Linked DNA regions of Caenorhabditis elegans. The protein of the gene in region 2 purifies or fractionates together with the protein of the main gene of each other region. This does not show direct contact. Each region holds a gene or a part of one and is shown on either strand. Other genes may lie near its edges.

The links.
Region 1: the proteins of nhr-268 (region 2) and dbd-18 fractionate together in Caenorhabditis elegans (co-fractionation; one large-scale study listed by BioGRID). This does not show direct contact.

What each region holds. Positions count from the first base shown.
Region 1 is NC_003284.9:295,317-299,806, reverse strand, and holds dbd-18 (DB domain-containing protein), read right to left. Parts: upstream 2,574-4,490; 5' UTR 2,560-2,573; coding exon 2,475-2,559; intron 1,965-2,474; coding exon 1,816-1,964; intron 1,632-1,815; coding exon 1,479-1,631; intron 1,367-1,478; coding exon 1,238-1,366; intron 765-1,237; coding exon 630-764; 3' UTR 520-629; downstream 1-519.
Region 2 is NC_003283.11:15,688,485-15,692,155, reverse strand, and holds nhr-268 (Nuclear hormone receptor family member nhr-268), read right to left. Parts: upstream 1,905-3,671; 5' UTR 1,823-1,904; coding exon 1,775-1,822; intron 1,730-1,774; coding exon 1,382-1,729; intron 1,270-1,381; coding exon 906-1,269; intron 824-905; coding exon 561-823; 3' UTR 550-560; downstream 1-549. Other genes in the region: Nuclear hormone receptor family member nhr-197, read right to left, coding at 2,397-2,659, 2,747-3,110, 3,622-3,671. UniProt on the Caenorhabditis elegans protein: Orphan nuclear receptor.

The DNA of each region.
Region 1 (4,490 bases), on a different chromosome or scaffold from region 2:
ACTGAAAGAAATTATATTATCAAATAAATACATTAGTCATTCAAAATATAATACTTTTTTACTGTAAAAAACGACCACTTTAAATCATTTGATTCATTCTCCAGTAACTCAAAAAAAACATTCAAAAAATTCGACAAACATTTTACTTATTTAACATTTTTAATGGACTTGATTAAACAATTTCACTAATTTTTTGAAAGGCTGTCTTGAAAGATATAAAAATGTCTCCATGTCTATGAAACTTCATAAAATAAACATTTGACCTGAATATGCATAAAAATTATTTGTAGTGGACTATTGAGAAGAAGTCCTTTCAAATGAAATACGTTTCGTTCAGAAAATAACTGAACGCATTGCAAAAAATCAAAACTTATGACGTTTTTTTCTCAAGGAACAATAGAATTGTAAAATGAAATGTTTCAAAAAGTAAAATAATTGGAAAAAAAAATCAATTTGAAAGCAATCTTCCAATTTTTATCAATGTCGACTATTGCCTGATAAGATAACAAACATCATATTCCAATTAATATTTTATTATTATCAACATTATAAGTGCACTGCTGCAAAAATGTAACCTTTGGTATGCTGAAGGGTGAACTTAAAAAAGATAAATAAATGAAGTGGTTGAGTTACATTTCGCGTATTCCGGCATGATGACAGTACATAATAACATTCCAATTATACAGGCAAGTCACATCTTCCTTGGTTATTCTATCGATTGAAGTACCCGATGGATCACACATTCGCAAGCAACGAGATCCAACCTAAGTTTTTATTATCATTAGTTGACATAAACGGGTTTCCATGATACGGCGCCCCACGCAGCCAACACTATCTGGGTTCCGCGCCGCGCTAATTTGCCATAGTTTTCAAATGAGTATACCTCAAGTTAGGAAATTTTGAAAGAAAAGTTGAACTGATTAACTGTTGCCCAATATGTGATCTACATCTTAACACACATGTTTCAACGTTTCAAAACATTAAAGTCAAGAGATACAACGCCCGACACCTTGCGAGCTCATTTTTGTCAATTCTTTTTGGAACATCTGTAACTTGAGACTGAGAAGTTTTCATAGGAGCAGTTTTCTTAATAACCTGAACCAGTGAGGCAAAACAGTGTTTTGAGAAGCGCATATACAACCTTACATGTATATTTTACCGGTTTTTGAGATATAACCAATTAATTACACACCATAGAAAACTCTTTCCAAAAAAATCTTCCAAGTTATTTATATACCTGAAGTTGAGGGGCATTGAGATCTAAATCCAAGCAGCATTTCCTATTATCTCTGTTCTGGCTGGCACAGTACAAAATTGACGACAGGTGTTTAATTCGGCACTGGCTATCTTTCCGCATGTTGGTCAGCTGCAAAAAGTTTGTTTTTGGAAATATAAAAGAGGTACTCACAACACAATTGTTTTATTGTCATTTATAACGTTAGGCAACTTACTATTTTGAATTTACTTTGGACACTTACCATATTTCTAGTAACCGACTGATCAGTTTCGTACACACACATGTGATGGCATTCTTCTGGAACATACAATTGACAGCACGACAAAAAGAGTTTGTTCGCAATTCCCTTGGAAGTGCATGGTTGATAGTTTACCTCCGATGTTCCACATTTGCCCTTAATTATCAAACAATTGTTTTGGAACAGTACTAATGGAAATCATGTATTTTTTTAACCTCAGAGCTGAAATATTAGGAGCCCAAATGCTGCTGCCGAGATGCTAGAGCTCGAGCCCAAATGCTCGAGCTTAAGATAATTAGCTTGGGCTCAAACAATTATATCAGTACAAAATAAAACTGACCAACGGTTTTCTCGGAGCAGAGCGGCGATCATTTCCAACTTTTCTGGAAAAAACTGCAATTTTTCTGTCTGGACAGTTTGACATTATGTATTTATAACATTGTCGGGGAAGTCGACATCCTGGGGTGATAGGTGCTGTGCAGCAAGCCCCTGAAAACCAATGTTTTTTGTACGCATGTATTAACATAGAGCAAAGCTGATATATATATATATATATATATATATATATATATATATATATATATATATATATATATATATATATATATGTGTAGAATATGGCGAATCGGGTTAAAACCGGACAACGGGACGCGTTTTATACCCAATTCGTCCAATTTGCTAGCCCTGTTGTAGACTCACTAAGAAATGTTGTATTTTTTTCCATTCCAGATATATTATGGGAACTTGAGTGAACGGGCCTTAATTTTGAGTTATTGTAAAGGTTAAGCACGACATTTGGTACATTTTCAAAACCTATTTCAATGTTGCTAAAATGACTAATAAAACGTTTCAAACGATTTTTGAAAATGTTTTATTTCAAGTCAAAAAGCGATAAAAACTCACTAGTCAATTTTCATGATTTTGTTTTTACAACAATTGATTTTAAGAGATTTTTGCGCAATCAATTTTATACCTAAACGTTTACTTCGTTCAGGTTACCTTTTTTCACAGCCGGACATTTTTTTTCGGACGATACAAACTGAGTAAGAAACAAGACAAGCAATGAAGACGATAGAAGACGCATTCTGATACCAAGAGCTGCAAGATTTACAAGTTGTGTCAATTGAAAAATAATCTTGAAAATAGGTTATAAAAAATGTTTGAAATTTACATCTTTTGACCATTCAAAATGATTTAGTCAAAAAATGTTCTAATTTTTCAGAGAATCTGGGCTTAAAGGTGGAGTAGCGCCAGTGGGAAAATTACTTTAAGGCATGCCTATGGTAACACAATGACCAAATATCATAGTAAAAAAAATTTAAAAAATTAGTCTAAATTTTATATGATTTTTTGAAAGTTGAAAAAAACCCGAATTACATCAAATTCCCATTTGAATTACCGCCAATAGTTCAATGTTCGATGGAGTGTGCTTGAAATATACATTTTTTTAAATAAATTTTTCTCATTTTTGACAGATTTTTGATGTTTTTCGTGTAATCTAAGTAGAAATTTAGTGAAAAATTCAACACAAATGTATATTGTGCATTGAAAACAATTGAAAAACAAAGAAAGAACGTATTCCAACGACGTCGAGCCTGAAACAATCAATTGCACAGGTTTACGCTTCACTGTCCTCTTTTTGATAAAGAATTTACATTTATCTTGAATTTTTCACTAAATTTTCACTAAAATTACACGAAAAAAAAAATTAAAATTCAGACATAAATGAGAAAAATTGATAAAAATATGGCAAGCGCACTCCATTGAACATCGAACTATTGGCGGCAATTCAAGTGGGAATTTGATGCAATTCGAGATTTTTTCAACTTTCAAAAAATCATATAAAAATTTAGCAAAAATTAAAAAAAAATTTTTTTTACTATGATATTTGGTCATTGGGGTACCATAGGCATGTTTTAAAACAATTTCCCCGCTGGCACTAGTCCAACTTTGAGGATAATAAGCACCATCAATACAGTTCCCGAATGTTTGCCAATTTAAAACGTTCTGAAAACTTCAAATGTATAAGAAACGACTTTTGGCGCAATTTTTCAGATTTCGGTAGTTGGGGAAAATGTGCTGAACTTTTTTCAAGTTGAAATTAAAATTTTTGAAGTAGGAGCTTTACAGCTAAAAGTGTTTTGCGTAAGCTCGTTTAAACAAAATAATCTGATGGGCATACGTCTTGTTTTGAAACTTTGAACGAAAAAATTCCGTTTCCTTGTACAAATTGACAAACCCTATTTTTTAAAAATTCGTTTTTTTTTCAAATTTAAAGTAACAAGAATAAAGAACATCAAATACAAAAACAAAAGTAGGTGTTGGATAGCAAACAATAATTAAGAAGTGAAAAAAGAAAGAGAGAGAGAGAGAGAATTCAATCTGTTCATTGAGTAACAGTCAAGAAACGGAAAATTAGGGCAAACGGCGCATCAAACGGTTGCGGGTAAATTAATGTTCACGAAATCGGCGGAAAAAGACACAGGAAAAGAGGCCATGTATTACCCTTTTCCACTTTTCTGTTCCAAGCAACAAATTACATTTCTCGATCAAAGAGAATCGCGAGAACTAGTGAGAAGCCAAATGAAGAATAAATATAGTTTTTTGTAGCATTCACAGGAGAGTTCAAAACTAATTGGTTTGAATGAATTGTCGATTGTACGGGAGGAAAATTTTTTGCGAATTTTTTCATCCCAAAAAAAAAAGGAAAAAAAACACGCCCAGAAAAAACAAACAAACATTTTTGTCGCAGTCACCGAGGACCTAATTTTTGAATTCCAATTTCAACAGGCATATGACTGCACTTTTTTGCAAAAAAAAAATTTGGATTTTTTGGGGAATTGATATGGTAAAAAATTGCTAATTTTTTTTAATATCAGGGGTACATTTCTGGAACCTAGATATTCCATCCCAGCCGCGCTACAGGGGTTTTTGTCTTGAATTCCAATTTCAACAAGCATATGACTGCACTTTTTTGCAAAAAAAATTTTTGGATTTTTGGGGGAATTGATATGG
Region 2 (3,671 bases):
AACATTTTGCAAGCAAAACAAGACATCGCCTAAAATTCGAAATTTTTGTGGTTTGATCTACATGTCATCAAGCAGTTTTCGAGGTCATCAAGCAGTTTTCGAGACTTACGCCATAGTTTCTATTGGTTGCACGTCCAGAGCATACCAAGCAATGCATAATGTCAAACTCAAATTGTAGTTTTTTTTCAAAACTGGAAAAAAAACTAAAAAAAGTGAGTAAACGTGAAAAGTTTTTTTTTTTTCAAAATGAAGAATTTGAAGCACAAGCGAGATCACATTCAGTCATCACCCAGACAGAAAAGTATATGGCACGAGTATGAAATATCTTAAAAATAAATGAATTACGTATGTATTTTGGATCAGAAAGTTCAAAAAATGTTCTCTATTCATAAAGTTGATATATAGTTTGATCCAAAAAAATTTTCTCGTCATAAGTTAGAATTGGAAAACCTTAAGATTCGCACCATCTCTTATACCTAATTTTAGAAACACAAACAATTCTTAATTTTTTTTATTAATAAAAACCAGTAAACGTTTGAAAAACAGACAAAAAAAATTCATTATGACAATGTATGAGAGAAAATATCTTGCATTAGCCGTTTAAAATTAAATTTTGGATTATAACATTGCACCATCATGCTCAAAAAGCTCATGTTATTCACAGATTTGTTAACTATTCCAAAAACTGATAGAAGCTCTGTGAACCGAGTTGGTGCAGATTTTGAATATTTCAGCTGGCAATAACGGAACAAGGCAGAGCAGTAAACCTGTTGGTGGGATGATAGAATGAGTTTTGTCTTGTGGGAGAAGTTATTGGTTATTGCTGTAAATTAAAGATTATGAAATGTGAAAACTAGTTAAATGATATTTTCAAAAAAAAAACAATTTCTAAAACTGAAACTTACATGCATTGCAAAACATGACCAATAATAGCAGCAGATACTCTTCTTGTCTGATTTCCAATTCGATAAACTTGGCGATGACTTGCCCCGACACTTGATTCAGAACAGCTGTAGAACTTCCACAAAGATTATACATTTCAGATGGAAAAATATCAACATCGTTTGGAAATGTTAACTTTGGTTTGTTTTCACTGTATGCACACATGGCAAGTGCTAAGCACCCTGCTCGCGAGACATTATACTTGAACAGTGTATTCTTGTCGCTGGAATCTAGTTCTCGAATAAAGTTGAAATCTAGAAAATAAGATATTCGAGAGTATGCCAGCATATTCGACCATTGGTCGACGTCGTTGAGTGTCTCGGGTGTCTGAAAATATATATGTTACTCAAGCTTAGGCATTGGGATTCTTTTCTAGTTAGATCCGCTCTATTTCTTCTGCTAATCTGAAATAAAACTTATCGAAAAATGAGCAACTAACCCTTCTCACAAGTTTCATAATACTTCTATCCTCTATAATATCCTTCAAGCTCGGATCCTCCAACGAATAGAAATCAATAAAATTTGAATAGTTTTTATCATTTTTCACAATCAAATCATTCAATAATTTGTCAAAATTGTAATCTTCGTAGTTGCCAATACTAACTATTCTATCATTCTTGGAAGCTGCTTTCATGCCAATGTTCAAGCATTTTTGGAATCGACAAGCACGGCACTTCGGGTGAGTTTTGTAGTGGATAGTGCAATTTTTAAAGTATTTGCAATTGAATAACATATTTTTGAAAACAGTTCTACGGAAGAACATTTTGCAGGCAAAACACGACATTACCTGGAATGAGAAGTTTTGAGGTTTTTTAGCATAATGTTTACTTACTCCATAGTTTCTATTGAATGCACGTGCTGAGCATACCAAGCAATTCATAAAGCCAAACTCCAGTTACGGAACTTAATAATTTTTATATGGGGTAAGTTAATCAATATTTCAAAAAATGCAACAGGTATTTCTGGAAAAAAAGATTCACAAGTTTTGATTAACGCATGCAAAAACGAAATGGTTTAAAGATAAGTTATGGGATGCAAGATTGACACATCATGTTCAGAGAGTTTAAATCTAGATTATTTTTCAGCAAAACTTATGTGTAGAGTGAGATAACTATATAATAGAAGAATTATAGAGTTGGAGAAAATAAAGCTTTTCTTAACACTGGAGATGACAAAAATAAGAAAAAGTGTAAATAAGAGAATCACTTTCAAATATTAATGCTAGATGTTCAGTTGTAAATCACAAATAGGTGCGTACTTTGTTCAAAAGCTGGATTTAGCCAAAACTTAGAATTAATCAGGCGTCAAGTAGACGCTTACTTGGTTTGACTTTGTGGTCTCAGATGCCTGCTCTTTTTATTAGCCAATATATGTTAAAACAATGGACGAATATAAGGCCTGACAGTTTTTTTAACAAAAAAGTAAGCAATTTTATATTATTATGGAATAAAACATTATAATAATGAATTAGAAAAAAGATCTTGCATAATCCGTTTAAATTGAAATTTCGGCTCACAAAATTGTAGCATCATGCTCAAATTGTTCATATTGTCCACCGATTTGTTGACAATTCCAAAAAGTGATAAAAGTTCCGTGAACCGAGTTGGTGCAGATTTTGAATAATTTATCTGGCAATAACGGAACAAAGCAGAGCAAAAAGCTTGTTGGTGGGAAGATAAAGCGAGTTTCGTTTTGTCAGAGAAGTCATTCGATATTGCTGTAAAAGTAAGATTAAGGAATGTGAAAACTTGTTAAATGGTATTTTTCAAAAAAAAATTCGAACATTTCAAAACCGGAAACTTACATGGATTGCAAAACATGACCAATATAAGAAGTAAGTACTCCTCATCTTTGATTTTCAATTCAACAAACTTGGCGATCACTTGTCCCGACACTTGATTCAGAACAGCTGTAGAACTTCCACAAAGATTATACATTTCAGATGGAAAAGCATCAACATCGTTTGGAAATGTTAACTTCGGTTTGTTTTCATTGAATGCGCACTTGGCAAGTGCTAGGCACCCAGCTCGCGAGATATTATACTTGAAAAGTGTATTTTTGTCACTGGAATCTAGATCTCGAATAAAGTTGAAATCTAGAAAATATGATATTCGAGAATATGCCATCATAATTGACCATTGGTCGACGTCGTTGAGTGTCTTGGGTGTCTAGAAGTATATTTTATTTGAAGGTATAGTTGTGAAAAATTGTTATTTTTTTCTAAATTGTTCTGTGTTTTCAATATTCGCAACAAAAATCAATTTGGCTTAACCATTTTCACATTCCCGCCCAAATTTATTCATTATTTGTCAAATTCGCACATACTTATGAAAAATGTTTTAAAAATAAAAGATACATTTTCGGTTTTCAAACCAATTTAAGAGTTTCAGTAAGTTTCTTTTGGGCTAAAACTTATAAAATTTTTCTTTGATACCTTTTTTCAAAAATATTTTTTCTATTTTTCAGAAATTGTTCCGCAAGAAACAGAAGTGTCGATTTTTGGTAAATTGTGAAGTATCAAGTATCAAAAAAAAATATTCCCACCCAGAAAACGAAAAAACTAAGAAACTAGGAATTCATAATTTTAGTTTTTTTCCAAAATAGTTTTTTTTTATTTTATTGTAAAATTCACTGTAAAAGTAATTGACATTAAAGTATACTTTAAAAAAAAAAACTCACCCTCTTCACAAGTTTCATAATACCTCTATCCTTTAAAATATCCGCCAAGC